Linked DNA regions of Neurospora crassa OR74A. The protein of the gene in region 5 purifies or fractionates together with the protein of the main gene of each other region. This does not show direct contact. Links are inferred from orthologs where the notes say so. Each region holds a gene or a part of one and is shown on either strand. Other genes may lie near its edges. The genes, in order: NCU00417, NCU11357, NCU01184, NCU06921 and NCU02572.

The links.
Region 1: the proteins of NCU02572 (region 5) and NCU00417 purify together in Schizosaccharomyces pombe (affinity purification with mass spectrometry; 3 studies listed by BioGRID, with this or other methods). This does not show direct contact. The link is inferred for Neurospora crassa OR74A from reciprocal best matches to the Schizosaccharomyces pombe genes cwf10 and cwf14.
Region 2: the proteins of NCU02572 (region 5) and NCU11357 purify together in Schizosaccharomyces pombe (affinity purification with mass spectrometry; 3 studies listed by BioGRID, with this or other methods). This does not show direct contact. The link is inferred for Neurospora crassa OR74A from reciprocal best matches to the Schizosaccharomyces pombe genes cwf10 and prp19.
Region 3: the proteins of NCU02572 (region 5) and NCU01184 purify together in Schizosaccharomyces pombe (affinity purification with mass spectrometry; 3 studies listed by BioGRID, with this or other methods). This does not show direct contact. The link is inferred for Neurospora crassa OR74A from reciprocal best matches to the Schizosaccharomyces pombe genes cwf10 and cwf2.
Region 4: the proteins of NCU02572 (region 5) and NCU06921 purify together in Schizosaccharomyces pombe (affinity purification with mass spectrometry; 3 studies listed by BioGRID, with this or other methods). This does not show direct contact. The link is inferred for Neurospora crassa OR74A from reciprocal best matches to the Schizosaccharomyces pombe genes cwf10 and prp17.

The regions. Positions count from the first base shown.
Region 1 is NC_026503.1:3,780,414-3,783,381, reverse strand, and holds NCU00417 (cell cycle control protein cwf14), read left to right. Parts: upstream 1-1,459; 5' UTR 1,460-1,598; coding exon 1,599-2,045; 3' UTR 2,046-2,368; exon of another isoform or gene 2,369-2,439; 3' UTR 2,440-2,463; downstream 2,464-2,968. Other genes in the region: NCU00419 (DNA-directed RNA polymerase I and III polypeptide), read left to right, coding at 1-8; nuo14.8 (NADH:ubiquinone oxidoreductase 14.8kD subunit), read right to left, coding at 265-276, 361-471, 706-852, 988-1,049, 1,103-1,226; NCU00416 (C2H2 type zinc finger domain-containing protein), read right to left, coding at 2,475-2,948. UniProt on the Schizosaccharomyces pombe protein: Involved in mRNA splicing where it associates with cdc5 and the other cwf proteins as part of the spliceosome.
Region 2 is NC_026503.1:540,494-544,516, forward strand, and holds NCU11357 (cell cycle control protein), read left to right. Parts: upstream 1-1,357; 5' UTR 1,358-1,485; coding exon 1,486-1,498; intron 1,499-1,554; coding exon 1,555-1,599; intron 1,600-1,730; coding exon 1,731-2,175; intron 2,176-2,236; coding exon 2,237-2,694; intron 2,695-2,751; coding exon 2,752-3,227; 3' UTR 3,228-3,517; downstream 3,518-4,023. Other genes in the region: NCU11356 (phenazine biosynthesis PhzC/PhzF protein), read left to right, coding at 85-1,101. UniProt on the Schizosaccharomyces pombe protein: Probable ubiquitin-protein ligase involved in pre-mRNA splicing. May also function in DNA repair.
Region 3 is NC_026505.1:3,161,333-3,165,462, forward strand, and holds NCU01184 (pre-mRNA splicing factor cwc2), read left to right. Parts: upstream 1-1,327; 5' UTR 1,328-1,517; coding exon 1,518-2,210; intron 2,211-2,273; coding exon 2,274-2,828; 3' UTR 2,829-3,097; downstream 3,098-4,130. Other genes in the region: NCU01183 (GTP-binding protein 1), read right to left, coding at 1-76, 146-577, 637-661, 725-739, 806-834, 915-943; NCU01185 (urease accessory protein UreF), read right to left, coding at 3,098-3,996, 4,102-4,130. UniProt on the Schizosaccharomyces pombe protein: Involved in the first step of pre-mRNA splicing. Required for cell growth and cell cycle control. Plays a role in the levels of the U1, U4, U5 and U6 snRNAs and the maintenance of the U4/U6 snRNA complex.
Region 4 is NC_026507.1:771,759-775,733, reverse strand, and holds NCU06921 (mRNA splicing factor), read left to right. Parts: upstream 1-1,259; 5' UTR 1,260-1,426; coding exon 1,427-2,679; intron 2,680-2,757; coding exon 2,758-3,136; 3' UTR 3,137-3,475; downstream 3,476-3,975. Other genes in the region: NCU06922 (endosomal cargo receptor), read left to right, coding at 1-16, 102-194.
Region 5 is NC_026501.1:2,767,213-2,771,327, forward strand, and holds the start of NCU02572 (U5 small nuclear ribonucleoprotein component), read left to right. Parts: upstream 1-1,315; 5' UTR 1,316-1,524; coding exon 1,525-1,562; intron 1,563-1,722; coding exon 1,723-3,988; intron 3,989-4,106; coding exon 4,107-4,115. Other genes in the region: NCU02571 (acetyl-CoA acetyltransferase), read right to left, coding at 1-147, 242-317, 392-441, 543-610. UniProt on the Schizosaccharomyces pombe protein: Component of the U5 snRNP complex required for pre-mRNA splicing. Binds GTP.

The DNA.
Region 1 (2,968 bases), on a different chromosome or scaffold from region 5:
CTGCCTAAGCCTCTTGTTTCTCACCTTTCTTTTCATCGTTAATTTTCACCAGCATGGGTAACGGCGTTTTGGGGCTTGAATTGGTAGTAAATCACAAGGGGGAACAAAAAATAGACAAAGGAAAACTCGCTGTGAGTGGCCATCAAGATAAGGGGGGAAGATAAAAGAACAAGCGGCTGCGTCCATGGATGTTCATCTGGCTTGCGTTATATACATAGGCTCTAGAGGAAAGGCTGACATTGATACCCTTCGTTATTACTCTTCTTAGTTGCGACCCTAGATGAAAGAAGAGTATTGTGAGCTACCCGCACAATGAAGTGGCCATCATCAAAGACAAAAGAGCTGCATGTATAGGCTTACCTGCAGGAAGCCATCGATAAAGCTGGAGGGAAGTCTCTTGGCTCCACGGAAGCTCTCCTCGTTGAAGTACGACATCATGTGAGTCGTCTGGCGCCAAAAGTTCATGGTTTCCTGATAGACGCGTGGAGAGTCAGCGTCAAGTTACCAGAACAATCAGTCCGAATCGCCGCGACGCATAACATGCGCCAGCGCTCTGATATTCCCTTCTGACCCCTTGCCTGGAACCCTTTCCCTCTTCTTTTTGGGTGTTCTCCAGATTTTGGACATGACCCCACTGCTGTGCCCGTTTCTGGGGATCCCCTGATTCATGTCCGTGTGGATAGTGACGATGAAGTGGAGCCTTACTTGATAGTCGGCATGGCCCTTTGTGAGCAGAACATCCACCACGGGCAACTTGTTAACGAAGCGGTTGCGCTCGAATTCCTGCCTGATGCGAGTGCGAATGACCGAAATGGGGAGGGGTAGTGAGTACATAGACTGCATCTCGGGTGTCTGTTGTATGTGATATCCTGGTTAGCGAATCCTCGGTCGGGATTGTTCGCACTCCTCCCATTATATACGTCGATATCCAACGTGTTCGTCGAAAGCTGGAAATGCTCGTTCTATGTAGGTTCGCTCGTAACGTACCGAACGAAGCCATCGCCGATAAAGGGCGAACACCCTCCGCTTGGCGTCGCTCCAGTTTGCCGCTACAATGTCCGTCAGAGTTACTCGTTCAGCTTGTACAACTGGGGTCACTTACACTGCCTGGTGGTGATGGCGTACTTGGTAGGTGTGATGGGCATTTTGGGCCAATTCGTGACTTGAGGACCTTTGGAGGTTGTCGCCGTTCCGTTCGCCAGGGTCGGTCGATTCGTCGTTCGCATGACAGCTTGTAGCTTCAGCAGTCGGCTCGGGGTCGGTAGCATCCAGCTAAGCCACAGTTGCTCTTACACACAGAGTGCGGGCGCTGATAGCACTAGCCACAACTACAAGAGGCCAATGACGTTGGCGCCACAATTCCAAGGCGTTTCTGGCAGGCAATTTTGAGCCAGTTCACTGCACTTACGCCGGGGATCACAGCACTCTCCTCTGGTCAGCTCATTAGATTTGAAGTTCTCCATCCTTCAACCGAACAATTGCGATATCACCACACACTCCGATACTCTTCCGAGTATATACGTTAGCGCAACGCAAAACACGTTACTTAAAGCACCGCTTACTAAATCCCGAGGCCGAGGACCAGCGACGACCTCAAAATGCCAGCCATTCGCCCCGCCTCGAAGCGCAAGCCGCCCCCAGAGGGTTTTGCCGACATTGAGGAGGATCTGCTCATCTTCGCCAACAAGATGAAGGACGCACAGAACGCCCCGACGGACAACATACCCAAGCACCAGGCCAAATGGCCTATCTTCCAGATCTCGCACCAGCGGAGCCGGTACATCTATGAGCTCTACTACGAAAAAGAGGCCATCAGCAAGCAGCTGTACGAGTGGCTGCTCAAGAATGGATACGCGGACGCGATGCTGATCGCCAAGTGGAAGAAGAACGGCTACGAGAAGCTCTGCTGCCTGCGCTGCATACAGACCAAGGAGACCAACTTCAACTCGACGTGCATCTGCCGCGTGCCCAAGGCCGAGCTGAAGGAGGGCCAGGATGTGCAGTGCGTGAGCTGTGGGTGCAGAGGGTGTGCTACTGGTGATTGAAGAGGAGGAGGCACGGATTTGAGGTTATAAAATTGAAAAGGGACGGCAGGGACAAGCAACTTTTTTCAAGGCTGAGATGTGGTGGAGAAACAATGAGAAGCCAGGGGCCGACGAACGGCTGTTCAGCGCCGCGATAATGATACCAACAACATCTCTTTGTCGAGCACGCATCGGGAGAGGGAAGAGGCGTTCACGGGGAGAGGGTAAGATAAGATGCTTTCTCCTTTGCAGAGCTATGTTTGACGCTTACTGTTGAGGGAGCAGATTGAACAAACATACGAACACGTTATGTCATGATATCATGGAATGTGAGGACCGTATCAGTATGTTCTCGCTACAGATGTGCAATAATATGTTTCAGCTGCCCAGTACTAATGGAATTGGTTTGCCCAAGCCTTACCACATCTCGTTTTTGCACTTCCTCTGTTGTCACCTTTTGGCGAATCCAGTCTTTCCTCCACGACCACGACCAAATCTGACACTGGAGGGTACGAACTGCAGTGCAGACATCTTGCCTACCAAGTCTCCCATATCCACGTCAGCCGGCTCCTCAACGGCCTCCTCGTGCGGTTGGTCTGTCATCTCAGCATCGGGTTTCGTCGATGTTGGAGTGGGCTCGGGCCGATCTACTTCCATCCGCTCCTTCATTTCTGATGGAGGCTTTGACTTGGAGTTGACCTTTGGGTCGGAAGAGCTGGCATGTGTTTCCGCTGCCGATGGCTTGTGGACCCGTTTCTGTTTCGGCCGCCGTTCATCCAACAACATCGACTGCCGCCCGTCAATACCGTGCAGTGTCACCGCGAAGAAGAAATTCTTTGGGTACATGTGCTTATCAATGAGATGCATCCGTCGCTTTTGGGGGGTCATGCATTTCCTTTCGCAACCTTCCACGAAGCAGGAGTACTGGAACGTTCGTTAGTGGC
Region 2 (4,023 bases), on a different chromosome or scaffold from region 5:
GATACGAGCCATCAGTCCCACCTCACTCACTCTCTCACCATCTCATCCGGAGACAGCGGCACCTCCCGCACCAAAACATCCAAGATGGCCCAGCCCATCACCCTCACCTACCTAACCGTCGACGTCTTCACCTCCACCCGCTACCTAGGCAACCCCCTAGCCGTAGTCCTCACCCCCGCCTCTTTTCGTTCTCATCTCACCCAAGACGTCAAACAGCTCATCGCCCGCGAATTCAACTTCTCCGAGACCGTCTTTCTGCACACGCTCGACGACGAAGCGCGCGATGGCTTGACTTCCACCAGTCGGGAAATCGACATCTTCACCATCGAGGAAGAACTTCCCTTTGCCGGACATCCCACTGTCGGAACGGCGTACCTCGTGCTAAACCATTTGGGGTGGAAGCATGTGGACACGCTTGTTACCAAGGCCGGACCGATTACGATCAGACCGACGTCCGAAGGAAGGGTGAAGGCTACGATTCCGCATGCTGTGCGTATTCATAAGCAGACGTTGGGCGGGATTCTGGATGGAAAGGGAGGGGAGGTGAAGAAGGAGACAAGGGAGATGATTGAGGCTGCGCTGTCCGAGGACCCAGAGATAAGACAAGCGGAGTTAAATGGCCCGGTAGTTAGTATCGTGCGGGGAATGACGTTTTTGTTGGTAAAACTGCCGAGTTTGGAACATTTGGCGAAGGTGTCGACGGCGAAAAGGCTGGATTTTAGTAAGGTGGAGGGGTTGTTGGATAAGGGGGAGTGGGAGCGCGGGTTTGTGTCCAGGTATTATTATGTGCCGATGGAGAGGGAGAAAGAGAGTGAAAATGGGAGGAAGGAGTTCAAGTTTAGGACGAGGATGGTGGAGTTGGGATTTGAAGATCCGGCGACGGGTAGTGCGGCGTGTACGCTGGCGAGCTATTTGACGGTTAGTGGGAGGGAGATGGGAGGGGCGAGGTTTGAGTTGACGCAGGGCGTGGAGATGGGGAGGCAGAGTGAGATTGAGGTGGAGACGACGGCGGTGGAGGGGGAGAATGGGGAGGCGAAGGTGAAGGATTTGTATCTGGGAGGGACGGCGGTGGTGGTTACGAAGGGAAGTATCTATGTGTAGTGGATTTGCTATTGAGTTGAATGTGATGCTGTCTACATTGTAGATGTTGTGAGAAGTGGCATGGTGTTGAGTCGAAAATGACGAGTAAAAGATACATTGCCAAAGTACCTCCCAAACGTCCATAGTCATTTATGCAACATGATTGGTCACTTACCGTAGTATGCGGCTCGGTGTGGCTCAAGCTTGGCAGATGGTTCTCTGCCTGCCGCCAAACCTCCAAGTACCTCTAGCGTCGTCCAGCTCCAGGCCGTCGCCTGCCTGCTGTCTGTGCTAGCTGGCTGGCCGTGGCGCGTTGCAACAAAAAAGTTGGAGGACGACATTGACATCGCGACTTGAACCAAACAACCCATTTTACAGATTTTGCATTGCAGTCATATTATCAAGATGCTTTGCGCCCGTATGTCACAGCTCTAATCTACCGTTGCGCGACGCTGTGCTAACCGATTGACGCAGTATCCGGAGAGGTTCCCGAGGAGCCTGTTGTCTCGAGAAAGACCGGTACGCGCACTCTTCGTCATTGTTGTCACCATCACCGAGATCCCACCATTCCCACCGCTTCTGTTCCCACCAAGCCACACCAGATGCTTCCACGACAGGCCGAAATGCGATGCCATACTAACACATCCCAGGCGCCGTCTTCGAGAAGCGATTGATCGAAAAGTACATCCAAGAGAACCACAAAGAACCCGGCACCGATGAAGAGCTAGACGTCGAAGACCTCCTCCCCATCAAGACAAATCGGATCGTCCGCCCCCGCCCCCCGCAATTCACATCCCTCCCATCCATGCTCAAGGCCTTCCAAGACGAGTGGGACGCCCTGGTACTAGAGTCATACAACACGAGGCAACAACTGGCGAGGACAAGGGAGGAATTGGCCACGGCGCTCTACCAGAACGATGCCGCCGTTCGCGTGATTGCTCGCTTGACCAAGGAGCGTGATGAGGCCCGCGAGGCCCTTTCCAGACTCACAGTTACGGCTTCTGCTGGCGGTGCCGCAACTGGTGACGCTATGGCGGTAGACAGCGAGGGTCTGCCCGAGGCGTTGGCTGCACATGTTGATGAGGTTCAGGCCGAGTACGTTTACCGCGCTCCGTCATCTCGAAAAGTTGAATGCTGACAATTCACCGATCTACAGAAAGCAAAAGGGCCGCAAGAAGCGACCAGTCCCCGAAGGCTGGGCCACCACAGAAGACATTTCCGCTCTGCAACAAACCGCCTACACAGATCTCCCCGTCACACAAGCGACCTCGCTCGCTCTCAACGGTGGTTATGCGGCGGTTGGTGGATTGGACGGCAAGGTGGATCTCTACTCGGTTGAGGCCAAGGCACACGAACGCTCTTTGGAGGTTGGCGAGCCGGTGACTGCTACGGTGTGGATCGGCAACAAGGTCGTCTCGGCCACTTCGAAGGGCAGTGTCAAGGCTGTTGAGGGCGGTGTCGAGACTGGTTCTGTTACGGAGCACGCCGGTGCCGTGACGGGCTTGGCGGTGCACCCTGGCGAGCAGATTCTTGCTTCTGTGGGCGTGGATAAGGGCATCATCTTTTACGATTTGCAGTCGCTGCAGCGTGTAGCGCGTGTCTATACTGACGCTGGTATGTACCCTTTCACCACCCGCCTCACAGTCTCAAGTTACTAATATGAACAAACAGAACTCACATCCTGCGCCTTCCACCCCGACGGCCACCTCTTCGCCGCCGGCACGCAATCCGGCCAGATCGAGATCTTCGACACCAAGACTCTCCAGCGCATGGCCAACTTCACCCTCGGCGCCCCCGTCAAGACCCTCGTCTTCTCCGAAAACGGCTTCTGGTTCGCCGCTACGGGCGTCGGCCAGTCCTCTGTCACCATCTTCGACCTGCGCAAGGAAGGCGACGCCGCGCGGGCCAAGGAGCTCCAAACCGGTGACGTCTCCGGCCTTGCCTGGGATTACACGGGTCAGTACCTCGCCACTGCCGGATCGCAGGGCGTTACGGTGCAGCAGTATGTCAAGGCTAGCAAGTCGTGGACGGAGCCGTTGAGGACAAGCACGCCGGCTGTGGCGGTGCAGTGGGGAGACAAGGCGAGGCAGTTGGTGGCTGTCAGCAAAGAGGGCGTAGTTTCGGTGTTGGAGCCGAAGAGCGAGTAGGATCGCATTGGAAAATACGAAAAGTCGGACTCGGAGACGGTCTAGGTGGGGTTGGCTTTGGAAGACCAAAGAAGATTAAAGTGATGGGCTAGAGGAGCGAAAGGGGAGATCGGGGTTTATTGGTAGGCGTTAGCTCCTGATGAGAGGGCTCAATACCGGTCTGCCCAGTATGACGCAAAACATAAAGAGCTTATAAAGTAATTCATTGGTTTATCTGGACTCGAGCGTGAAAAAGATATTTGATGAACAGGTCTAGTGTAGACTTGAGCGGCGGGAGCATGTTGTTTTAAAGAGCATATCTGTCTTGAAGTCTTCACTTCTGATGATACCGAAGCAAAACGGGGAAATTCTGCGGTGATACTGTTGTATGGCTTCACCTCCGTATTTCGTGATCTCAACTTTGGCAGTGCCTGCGTTCCAACAGCTTCCATATCACGGTCCATCATCAGACCCTGAAAGAGCTCACGACGAGAACAGGGGATAGTGCAACCTGATAGGCTGACAGCTGTTTGTTCCTGAATGCCCGAATCGGGATGCAGGTAAGGTAGTGTACAATTGGACCCCTATGTCTGACTGTTAAGGATGCAGCGTTGTAACAGGCTCTTCTTGCCCGCAGTACTGCTAAGGTACTAACAGAGGCACATTAAGCATGGTCAACGTCAAGTCACCATAGGAACTTGTGAAAGACACCAACCGAGGTGTTGATGAATGACCTTGTGCTTCAGTTTTAGAAAACAAGCACAACGAACGACTTCCCCCGTGCCGGTTACCTAGGTACCGTAGAAACTCGGTTAGT
Region 3 (4,130 bases), on a different chromosome or scaffold from region 5:
GTCCAGCCCGTTCTTGGGCGGCGTCTGGAAGGTGATCTTCATGCCGCCGGCCTTTTTGGGTTTGAGGTAGATGTTTCTAGGCAAAGGGGGATTATATCGTTAGCGTCGGTAGAAAAGTAACATGGGAAGGGAAAAGGGGGCGTACGGTGGCTCCCGGTTGAGTCTGATGCCTACAGCCTCCAACTCGGCCTCGAGGAGGGCCCTCTGCTCAGCACGTTTTGTGGCGTCCAAAACCATAAGAATCAGATCGCTTGTCTTGGCGGCGGAAATGACCTGTCTTCCTCTACCCTTGCCCTCGGAGGCACCCTCGATGATACCGGGCAAATCGAGCAGCTGGATTTCGGCACCGCCATATTCGAGCACACCGGGAATGGCTGTCAGGGTCGTGAAAGCGTATGAGGCGACTTCGGACTTGGTCTTGGTGACCTTGGATAAGAACGTGGATTTACCGACTGACGGGAAGCCGACCAGTGCTATACGAGCATCACCACTTTTGCTGACGTCGAAACCGGCACCTGGACCGCCGCCCGAGCCCGGCCCTGGCTCGAGTAGTTGAGCGCGGAGACGAGCGAGCTTTCTGTGGATGGGCGTTAGTGAGAGTCAATATCAAGGATCGCTTGGTGTAGACTCACTTACCCCTTCAAGAGACCCAGATGATATTCTTAGTTTGGTTTCACCAGGTCAGCACATGAATGATGTTGGAGACAGGTGATAAAGAGCGTACCAGTTGCCTTGTTCTCTGTTAAAACTTATGTTAGCGTTCATGGCTTTCAGTCAATTTGTTTGCATAGGGACGTGGTCTTACTCTGGGTTTTCCTCATCTCCTCCTCAATCCTTGTATCTTATGGTCAGTTTGACTAACTCCATCAAGTCGAACACGCAGGCACCGTGGAAGCGTCAATGGTGCAGCTTACTCCTTGATCTTTTCCGTAATGTTCACCATCTTGGCGGTTTAGGACAGGTCTGTCCTTGGTATCGCTTTTACAAAAGAAACAAAGACTGAAGCGATATAACTCGAGGTAAACACCAGGCTGGCAAGCTGATGAGAAGTGAATCGGCCCTGAAAGTGAAATTCAAGGTTGATGAATTACACGCTGTAAGGAACAGTAATGTCAAACATATCAGTGCGCACCCCACGTTCCCAAGTGGCAGAATTTCCCGGACAGGAGGGGCAGCAGAAGTGGGTTTTGTCCTTCACCGCTTTTGGAAGACCCATAAAATCTGCGGGAGCGGAGTGGGTCTCTGTCAGCCAAGGTCGGCCCAGGCTTGGAAATTCTCCAAAAGTCCAACACCCCTGGAATCTCGGAAAAGAGTCTGTGCTCTGCGAGTTTGGCCTAGACAACAAATCGTAAACCAAATTCGGCGTCATTGTCTTTTTCCACTTGTCATCGCATTTGCAGCATACGTATCCGCTATCCTCTTTCTACCCTGGCAACAAGACGCGCAACCAAAGGCCAACTGAGTACCGATACTTGCTTTCGAACCAAATCACATCTGGAATCCCAATCCGACATACCATGGCCGAAGTCGATACCAGGCAAGAGGAGCCTGTCTCCGCCGTAATTGAACAAGCGCAAGCCGGAGAAGACGCGACAGACGCGCAGACACAGGAGCTTGCTCTCACCACAACGAACACCGAAGTCGCCGCCCCAACAGAGAAGAAGGTCAAAAAGATCATCCGGCGCAAGAAGAGACCGGCGCGACCTCAAATCGACCCGGCGCTAGTCAAATCCGAGCCGCCCCCGCAGACAGGAACAACGTTCAACATCTGGTACAATAAGTGGTCCGGTGGCGATCGCGAAGACAAATACCTATCCCAAACACACGCAAAGGGAAGATGTAATATCGCCTTGGACACTGGATACACGCGCGCCGACGGAGTAGCAGGATCGTTCTTTTGTCTGTTTTTTGCGAGGGGCGTCTGTCCCAAGGGCCAGGATTGCGAGTACCTCCATCGACTACCTACAATCCACGACATTTTCAACCCCAATGTGGACTGTTTTGGGCGCGACAAATTCAGCGACTATCGTGACGACATGGGCGGTGTGGGCAGCTTTAGCAGGCAAAACCGGACAATTTATATTGGTAGAATCCACGTGACGGAGGACATTGAGGAGATCGTGGCCCGTCACTTTGCCGAATGGGGCCAAATAGAAAGAATACGTGTGCTCAACACGAGAGGTGTGGCGTTCGTCACTTATTCAAATGAGGTAAGCCACGGTTGCTAGCATTTTGCTTGGATGTTGAACTCGGTACTAATTCGCTGGTTACAGGCAAACGCCCAATTCGCCAAGGAAGCAATGGCCCACCAGTCACTAGACCATAACGAGATTCTCAACGTTCGCTGGGCGACAGCGGATCCCAACCCCATGGCGCAGAAACGCGAGGCAAGACGCATCGAGGAGCAAGCCGCCGAAGCCATTCGACGGGCGCTGCCTGCCGCGTATGTTGCCGAGATCGAGGGCAAAGACCCAGAGGCGCGGAAACGGAGGAAGATCGAGAGCAGTTACGGCCTGGAAGGATACGAGGCGCCAGACGAGGTACACTTTGCCCGGGGAAAGAATGCGGTCAACCCAAGGGGTCGCGAAGGGTACGAGCTGGAGGATCAGCAACTGCTCATGCTCGAAGCTGGGGAGGCTGGAGGATGGGGACAGGAGCAGGAGGAAGAGGCATATCCTCAGGAACAACAACAGAGTTCCGGTGGGATCTTGTCTGGTAGCACGCTTGCTGCGCTACAGTCTGCTAGAGTTGCAGTTGCGGCAAAACCGAAAGCACCTGTCTCGGCGGGACCGCTGGTGGCTTATGGTAGTGACGATGACAGCGACTGAGACATAACTGGGAAGAAGTTATTTTGGTAATGATGATAAGAGAATGAGGCAGCAGGAGCCAGTGCATAGATGCCATTTTTGGCCTAGGAAATAATAAGATACCAAGTTAAGAGCGTTTGAACATGTGCCATACAGATTTGTGGCCATGCTTTGACTCCTCCGCCCCCTTTTCCAAGTAAACAAAAACCATTTCCCAATCACAATTCGCCCATGTACCCCTTTTCACCCTCAACTCCCGGTGCCGTCCCCCCAGTCCTCCCCTCCCCAACTCAACTGTTGAAAATCCTCGAATAAAGAACCTCATGCCTACCAATCCACAAATCCATAACCGGCACGCTCTGCCCCGCCTCCTCCACGCCTCTCTCCCACTCCCTCTTCATCAACGCCCCAATCATCTCCTGCACCTGCCTGCTCGCCAGCGTCTTCTGCGCCTGGTAGGGGCCAAACATGCCCGCCCTCACCGCCGCGCTCACCAGCGCCTTCACGTGGCTAAGTAAATAAACGTAAGCTGTCTGCTCGAGCGAGAGCCCGACGAGGGCGCAGATGGCGCCGAAGAGGGGCGGGAGGTGGGCGGAGACGGGTGGAGGGTCGTTCCACCCGCTACTTCTTCCTCCGCCCGATGTCGATGGATTGCTGCTGCTGCTGGTGGTGGTGGTGGTGGTGGAAGACGGTGGTGGCGCCCCTGCAGATCTAAGCAAAGCCGAGAAAGGCTTGAGAATTGCAGCCGCCGCTTCGGCAGAAGTAGACGAAGGCGGTAGCGACGAGGACAGAGAGCGGTCCCAGATGGAAAGCAGCGCTCGGCCCTGGGCGACCGATGCTCGACGGCCGACGGTGCAGACGATGGTTGCGTCGAGGGTGTCGTCTAGCAGGGCGAGCTGGGCTGGGTCGCGGTGGGCGGCGAGGACGTAGGGGAGCGTGGTGGACGCGTAGGAGGAGAGGGAGAGGGGGAGGAAAGAGGTGAAGGAGGGTGGTGGAAGTTTGGTTTTGGGTGGTTTGTTAGTGACAATTGATGTAGAATGCGAAGGGGAAGGAGAAGATTTGTTGTGGGCGAGGTAGGATTCGAGACCGCTGCTGAAGGCGAAGGATCCGAGAGGCAGCGCGGAGTCGGAAAGGAGGAGGAGGAAGTGGTTGGCTGTGGAGTGGAGGATGGTTTGGGACGGGGAGGGGACTGGAGGGTTTGTGTTAGTGAGGGTTTTGTGTTATGATGAGAGTCTTGATCGATGGAGTCGAGTACAAGAAAAGAAAGGGAAGGGTAGAACAAGGTGCAACTCACCTGGTATCACCCCAAGATTGGACTCTTGC
Region 4 (3,975 bases), on a different chromosome or scaffold from region 5:
TAATGTCCACAAGAAGGTATGTCATCAGCTCAACACAACCAACCGCGTCCGCTGTGGTGGAGCTTCAAGAACTGCTTCTAACCGATCTGCGCGCTCTCTAGGAATCTTTCACTAAGCTCGGCTTCCATCTCATTCTGTTCTTCTTTTACTTGTACAGCATGATTGTGGCCCTCATTCGGGACGAGGCTCATTAGGAAATGGCCGTCGCTCGCTAAGTTGAACTGGACTTCTCGTTTCACAACGATACCGCCACAAAGTCCGTCGGATCGGACGCGGAGCTCTCTCATCGGAGCTCGTGCTCGCATCTTTACCACCACCGTTTTCTCGAAAGTACATAACGGCGCTGGGCACACTGGTACGCAGTACTTCAAACACACACAAACAAAAAATATATACAGTACAACGACAGGCAAGCAAGCAGGCAGGCAGGATCCTCGGCGACGGATGCTGCAAAAGGACGGGAAGGGTTCATGAGCGTAACATACGACGACTTTGACAGATGGCATGGGAGGGCACGAAGCTATGAAGAGATGGCGGGAATGATTATATTATTGGATGGCGGGAGAAGAGGAGGACGAATTGTATGGTCTTGGCTTCTATAATGAAGAGGAAAAGCGACTGACGGGCTTCGGGAAGGTGGCAACTGCCTTGCTGTACGCCTCGGTTGGCATGACAGCTGGATAGACGGGGCAAAAGGAAATGATGAAAAAGAGTTTACGACCTCTTCAGCGGTACCAATTGGGTGTACGCAGGTGAGGAGAGGGAGAAATCGCGTGCTGTATTTTACTGCTTCCTAAAGTATGTAATGAAACGGGACGGGCTACGTCATGAAGATCATGGTCTGTTGCTGTCTTGTCAAATGTCAACACCGAGGGAAGGCAACGCGGGCCACATATGGAGAACCACGAACATGACTTTTTGATCCATAGACATTGGGCGCGTTGTTGGAATATGTACTCTCTTAGCAAGCTGTTGTCGTCCTACCAAGATGGAACCGAATATTCGGGTCATTGAACACTCTTTGTACTGCATAGTAGAGAGGCAAGCCAGAAACAATAGAGCTTGGCTCAACGCTGATCATTGTCAGCCCCTCCCTCACAAGCAAGCTGAGTCTCAGCTCCAAAGCTTGGTCCTTGCTCAACCAGAGTGCGACAGCAACCCGGTAAGTGGGTGGTATATGGCCCGTGCGCGCGTATATCGTAGAAGCTCCACTCTGAATTTGAGTTCCACTGTTCCAGACGTCAACCAATGCGCCCGGCCTGCCGCCAACGACTCCAAGAGGGTCGCATCCCATCTTCATCTCCAAAACAACAAAAACAACAAAACAAAAAAAACATTTTCAGGTTCATCAAGCGTGCGGCTGGCGAGCATACCATCACCACAATTTCATCAAGCCGCAGCAGAACTAAACATAATCCAAATAGCCATGGCCGACTTCAATGAATACCCAGCAAACCTGTCAGTCAAAGACGCCCTCATCGTCCGCCAAGTCGCCGAACCAGACCATGCCGTTGTCCCCTACACCGGCGAGGATCTAAGCCGACCGCGACTCGGGCCCGCCAACCCCTTCCGTGACGATACCGACTCGACTTCCACTGCGGTCGGCACCAAGAGGAAGAACGTCCTGACCGGTACTGCGGCCGAGACTTACATCAGCGAACACACTTTTCGCTCCAAGCACCGCGCCATCGAGCGCGGCGGTGGTCCCGCGCGCGAACAATTGGGGAGTACTGCCAAGAAGGCGGCGGCTGCAAAGCTGAGGCAACAGAGAGAGGGGAAAGGAAGCGCGACGATTGCGGATGGCGATGGGGCCTACGTCGGGCCATGGGCGCGGTACAAGAAGCAGGAATATGAGGAGGTGAATGAAGAGGAGCTGGGGAGTGGTGAGGAATATGAGATTGTCGAAGAAGAAGAAGGGGAGGAAGAGGAAGACGTGGTAGAGAGCGGGACGGTCGTCAAGGCGCCGACGAAGAACCTGGCGCGCAGGAAAGAGGTGGAAGAGCAGGGCGCGGAGACGACGACGTTCCATGGCACCGAGGAATTCGATTACCTTGGCCGGACATACATGCACGTCCCGCAGGATCTGGATATCAGTCTCACCAAGGACGTCGGGAGCGTCACGAACTTCATCCCCAAGAAGCACATGCATACATGGAGGCACCATGCCGGCAAGCCGATCACGGCGTTGCAGTTGTTTCCCAAGTCAAGTCACTTGGGTCTGTCGGGCAGCACGGACAGCACCATCAAGATCTTCGATGTCTATCGCAATCGCGAGCTGTTGCGGACGTATGCGGGCCATTCGAAGGCTATCACCGACTTGTCGTTTAACAGAGACGGCACCAAGTTCCTATCGGGCTCGTTCGACAGATGGATCAAGTTGTGGGACACAGAGACGGGACAATGTGTCAACAGGTTCAACACGGGCAAGACACCGCATGTCATCAAGTTCAACCCGTCGGTGGATCAGGGTCACGAGTTCTTGGCGGGCTTGTCGGATAACAGGATTGTGCAATACGACAGTCGTGCGGGAGCGGATCCAGTGCAGGAGTACGATCACCACTTGGGCGCCATCAACACCCTCGAATTCGTGGACGAGAACAGGCGGTTCATGTCGACGTCAGATGACCGCTCGTTGAGAGTATGGGAGTATGGAATTCCAGTCGAGATCAAGACTATCAGGTATGTCTTCTCTTTTTTTTCTTCCTCCCATTTTTATTCTCCTTACCAAAAGTAATCACATGCTAACATTTTCTCTAGTGAACCCGACATGTTCGCCCTCACCAAATCCACCCAGCACCCCTCGGGCAAATACGTCCTCTACCAATGCTCCGACAACTCCATCGTCGCCTACTCATCGGCCTCGGACAAGTTCCGCCAAAACCGCAAGAAGTCCTGGCGCGGCCACAACACCGCCGGCTCCGGCATCGGGCTGGTCTGCAGTCCCGACGGGCAGTTTGTCGCTTCGGGCGATACCGGAGGATACGTCTGCTTCTGGGACTGGAAGACGTGCAAGATGTACCACAAGATCCACGCGGACACGAGCGGGGGGGCGATCAACTGTGTGGCTTGGTCGGAGCAGGAGACGAGTAAGGTGTTTACGGCGGGGGCGAAGGGTGAGATTAGGATGTGGGATTAGACACTGTCCGGTCTCGTGGGTCATTGTGTGAAATTGGGCCATTGCTGAGGGATTTTGATGGCTGTCCTCAGGGATGACGATAGAGGAAGAAGATTGGAGCGTCGCGTCTCAGGTGAAAGCAGGCAAAGAACGAGCGACCGGAAAAAGATATTTACAGCATTGCTTGGCGTTGGGAGAAACATTTCGGTACTAATGGGATTGGACTGGCTTTTCAAGTGCAAAGACTTGATTTTGGAGCAGCAGCAGACACCAATCAAGACACCGGCGAACAGCCGATATTGATCATCCATTCCCGGACTTAATTCGTCTTGACTCAGTCGATTGAACTATATACTGGACGTGCACTGAAAATATGACAGTGGCTGGTCGACCGAGTATCTTTGTTGTAATCAATCGAAGTGCCGACGACTATCCCCTCTACATCACGGCGTCGAGGCTTACTTCCCAAGAAACCATGAACGTTACACTGCAGCCAAGTGTCTTTGGATTATTCGGCTGTTCATATTGGTCTGGTTATGTTACCCTCGCTGCCGCTGGTTATTCAAATGAACATTATCTATCATCTTGTGCACCGCACCGCTCAAGTTTACTTGTACCCTTCATGCAATTCCGGTTCTTCTGCAGCTATAACACCATTGTCGGAGTCATTGTTTTGCGCATCTTCCTCATACCCGTGGGTGTGTGTGGTTGGCTCATAGTGCCACCCGCTTTGGAAGAAAAAAAAAACACCGCCAAAGGATTCTCATCAAAACCAAAATACCTCCTTTCGTAAAGAACGAGGGGGTAGTTTCTATCTACTACGTAACTTAAAGAGAAAGAAAGAAAGATAAAAGGACAAA
Region 5 (4,115 bases):
ATGTCTGCATTGCCAGTCATGATGGTCTGGGCGCCAAGGATGATGGCCTTCATGCCGGAAGCGCACACCTTGTTGACGGTGGTGGCAACCACCTTGTTCGAGAGACCGGCCTTCAGGGCGCACTGGCGGGCAGGAGCCTGACCGACACTGAGGATAAAGACATGTGGTTAGTATTGTGCTGTTCCAGGGTCGAGTCGCGGCGGCGCGTTCGCTGCGCACAAAGGAATCTATGGCTACGTACCCAGCAGAGAGGACATTGCCAAAGAAGACCTCCTCAACATCCTCGGCCTTGATTTCGGGAACGCGGTCAACGGCAGCTAGAAACAGGAGTGGTTAGCTAAGGACACGTTTCATCTAATACTCCTCTCGAAACCGGTTCTAACCGACGTACACTTGATGGCATGGGCACCGAGCTGAACAGCAGAGAGGCTGGAAAGCTGACTACAAGTTCAGAGATATCAGCAACGCGAAGTTCACGCTTCGTCCCTCCTGTATCGTTCTGACAACAGCTCCAGGTCAGCCGACATGGCGGGGTAGCTTACCCAAGGAAGGACCCCACAGGGGTTCTGGCGGCAGAAACGATGTAGACGGAGGGAAGACCGGTAGACATGATGGCTAGTTTGGAAGCTTGGAGTTGAGGAAAAAGACGGGTTTTGGAATTAAAGATTATGGAATGAAAGCGGGTGAAGCCAGGTAAGAACAGTGAAGATGTGGGAAGCGTTGTTCTAATAAAGCTCAGCCCGTGACTACCAGGATTGTCTTTTGGACGCGGGACAGGATAGGGGAAATTGTTGAGACGACGGGGACCTTGTAGCTGTCACCTCAGGTCTTCTCACCGCCTTCAACGCGAGGTCTTATCAGTCTTTATCCGGAAAAGTGCCGATCTTCAGGAATAAGAGAAATGGACCCTCGCAGACTTTGACAAAGTGGTGTGAGGTGTCCGATGCCGGCGGCAACTGGCTCTCTTCCCATGATACCTCTTGAACCCGTCTTTATAGACTAGGATGTGGCAGCTTGGGCAAGGGGCAGTTGTGGGGGTTTATGGAGTGTTAGAACCCTGAGGGGCACCGCGATGGCCTGGATGGTTTCTGACGTGGTCCGCTGCGGGAATCTGCTTGCATGTCTGCCGTGGACCCGTGGTGCCATCATTGCGAGCAAAGATTTTATCAGATGATCTGATAATGTTGAGCAGTAGATCTGCGCACCAGCCACTTCCTGTGGTCGATGCCGAAGCTAGCGCCACATTGCTAAAACACTAGTCTCTACCATTTAAATGAAGTCTGCCATTTTTTCATTAGTTGCAAGGGACCTCCAAGTTTAGCGCTACACGGTTGAAGCTTGGTCCACTGCGCGCCGCGGCGAGAGTTCACTGGTTGACATCAGCCTTGCGCAAAGACAGCGACGAAAATCCAGCAAACGTTCCAGTCAAGATCTCTGAACTCCCATTGCTCAACAACGCGACAGCTACCCTTTTCGAGACAAAGCGGCTTTGGAGTAACGCTCAATTATCATCGACGATACACGATGGACGACGATTTGTACGACGAGTTCGGAAACTTCATGTACGTATCATGCTATCTCCATGACGTCGTCACGTTGCAGAAGGATGGTCTGTCTGGGCTGTGTTTTGGTCAAGACTCCATCGTCTTTTTGAGGCTAATGTCCAATCTTGCTTACTTTATGATGCTCTCTCCTTCGGCGGTGCTAACCATTGATTCGTAGCGGAGATGCTGAAGCCTCCGAGGAAGAGTCTGAACATGGTGTCGACGCTGGAAACTACGTTTACGATGATTACCCAGAGGAAGCCCCAGAAGCTCCGGCTCAGGAGATGATGGAAGTTGACGATGAAGGCCCCTCCAACGCCGTTGTTCTCCACGAAGACAAGCAGTACTACCCGACAGCCGCACAGGTCTATGGCGAGGGCGTCGAAATTTTGGTTCAAGAGGAGGATGCGCAACCGTTAACACAGCCGATCATCGCCCCTGTCGAGCAAAAAAAGTTCAGCATCGAAGAAGCAGACCTACCTCCCGTATACTTTGACCGCACGTTCATGGCCGATCTCATGAACTTCCCCGAACAAATCCGTAACGTGGCTTTTGCTGGACATCTACACCACGGAAAGACAGCATTCATGGATATGTTGGTGTTAGAGACGCACGACATTGCGGACAAACTTGAGAAGCGAACGGGAAAGAAGCGCGACGAGCAGCTGCGGTACACAGACATTCACATCCTCGAGCGGGAACGTGGGTTATCCATCAAGGCTTCGCCCATGAGCCTGGTCCTCCAAGGAACAAAAGGAAAATCACATCTCTTCAACATGATCGATACGCCAGGTCATGTGGACTTTGTTGACGAAGTTGCGGCTTCGCTCAGGCTTGTGGATGGTGTCTGTTTGGTGGTCGATGTCGTGGAGGGGGTTCAGGTCAACACAGAACAGATCATCAAGCACGCCGTTTTGGAGAACATCCCACTCACCCTCATTGTCAACAAGATGGACCGGTTAATTCTCGAGCTCAAGTTGCCGCCAAACGATGCCTATTACAAACTTAAGCATGTGATCGAAGAAGTCAACACTGTCATTGAGAACACAATTCCAGGCCGAGGTGAGGAGAGGAGGTTAAGTCCAGAGAGAGGAAATGTTCTGTTTGCCTGCACGTCCATGGGCTGGTGTTTCACTCTTCAGTCATTCGCCAAGATGTACTCGGACACGTATGGTGGTGTCAACTCGGAAGAGTTTGCGAGGCGCCTCTGGGGAGACATCTACTTTAACCCGCAAAAGCGAAGTTTCACAAGGAAACCCATCGAAGAAGGAGCTAAGAGGTCCTTTGTCAACTTCATCATGGAGCCGATTTACAAGTTGTACTCGCATACGATTAGCGAAAGTCCGGAAGAACTGAAGGGTACCTTGAAAAAGTTGGGCATTCAGCTCAAGCCATCGCAGTACAAGACTGACCCCAAGGTCTTGTTGAAATTGGTTTGCGAGCAGTTCTTTGGGCCATCTACCGGGTTCGTAGACATGGTCTGTCAGCATATCCCATCGCCGGCTGAGGCTGCAAAGCAAAAGCTCGAACAGTACTACACAGGCCCTCTGGACAGCAAGGTTGCTGAGTCTATGCTGAACTGCGACCAAAATGGCCCGCTTGTGTTGTATGTGTCCAAGCTGTTCAGTGCTCCCGATGCGAAGAGCTTCTATTCGTTTGGCCGTGTGATGAGCGGTATTGCGCGCCCTGGCACAGAGGTCCGCGTGCTTGGCGAGGGTTATTCTATCGACGACGAAGAAGATATGGCCATGGGGAGGATATCCGATGTCTTCATTGCCGAAACACGATACAACATCCCAACCGACGGCGTGCCCGCTGGTAACTGGGTTCTGTTGGGCGGCGTGGACAACTCGATCGTGAAGACTGCCACTATTGTGGAGAAGAAATTTGAGGATGATGAGGACGCCTACATCTTCAAACCTATTTCGCACTTCACCCAGTCCGTCGTTAAGGTTGCTGTCGAGCCCATCAATCCGTCTGAACTACCCAAGATGCTTGACGGCATCAGGAAAATCAACAAGAGCTACCCCCTCATTACCACCAAGGTAGAGGAATCGGGAGAGCATATTATTGTTGGTACTGGCGAGCTATACATGGACTGCGTGTTGCATGACCTACGTCGTCTATATGCCGATATGGAGATCAGGGTATCGGATCCTGTGGTTCGATTCTGCGAGACGGTACAGGACATGTCCGCAACCAAATGCTACGCCATTACCCCCAATAAGAAGAACACCATTACAATGGTGGCGGAGCCATTGGAGGATGGTATCGCGCAGGACATTGAGTCCGGAGCGGTCAGGATTCGGGATCCTGTACGAAAGATCGCCAAATTTTTCGAGGAGAAGTATGGCTGGGATCTCCTTGCAGCCAGGAGTATCTGGGCTTTCGGTCCAGACGAGATGGGACCCAACATCTTGCAGGATGACACCTTACCATCAGAGGTCAGTTGCGAGTTCCTTTCCCATGCTCGGGACACCAGTTGCCGTTCTACCCAGGTTTTTGCGGTGATCGTCGAAACCGGGCCGTCTCTTACTTCCGGGCTACTAACACGATGAACAGGTTGACAAG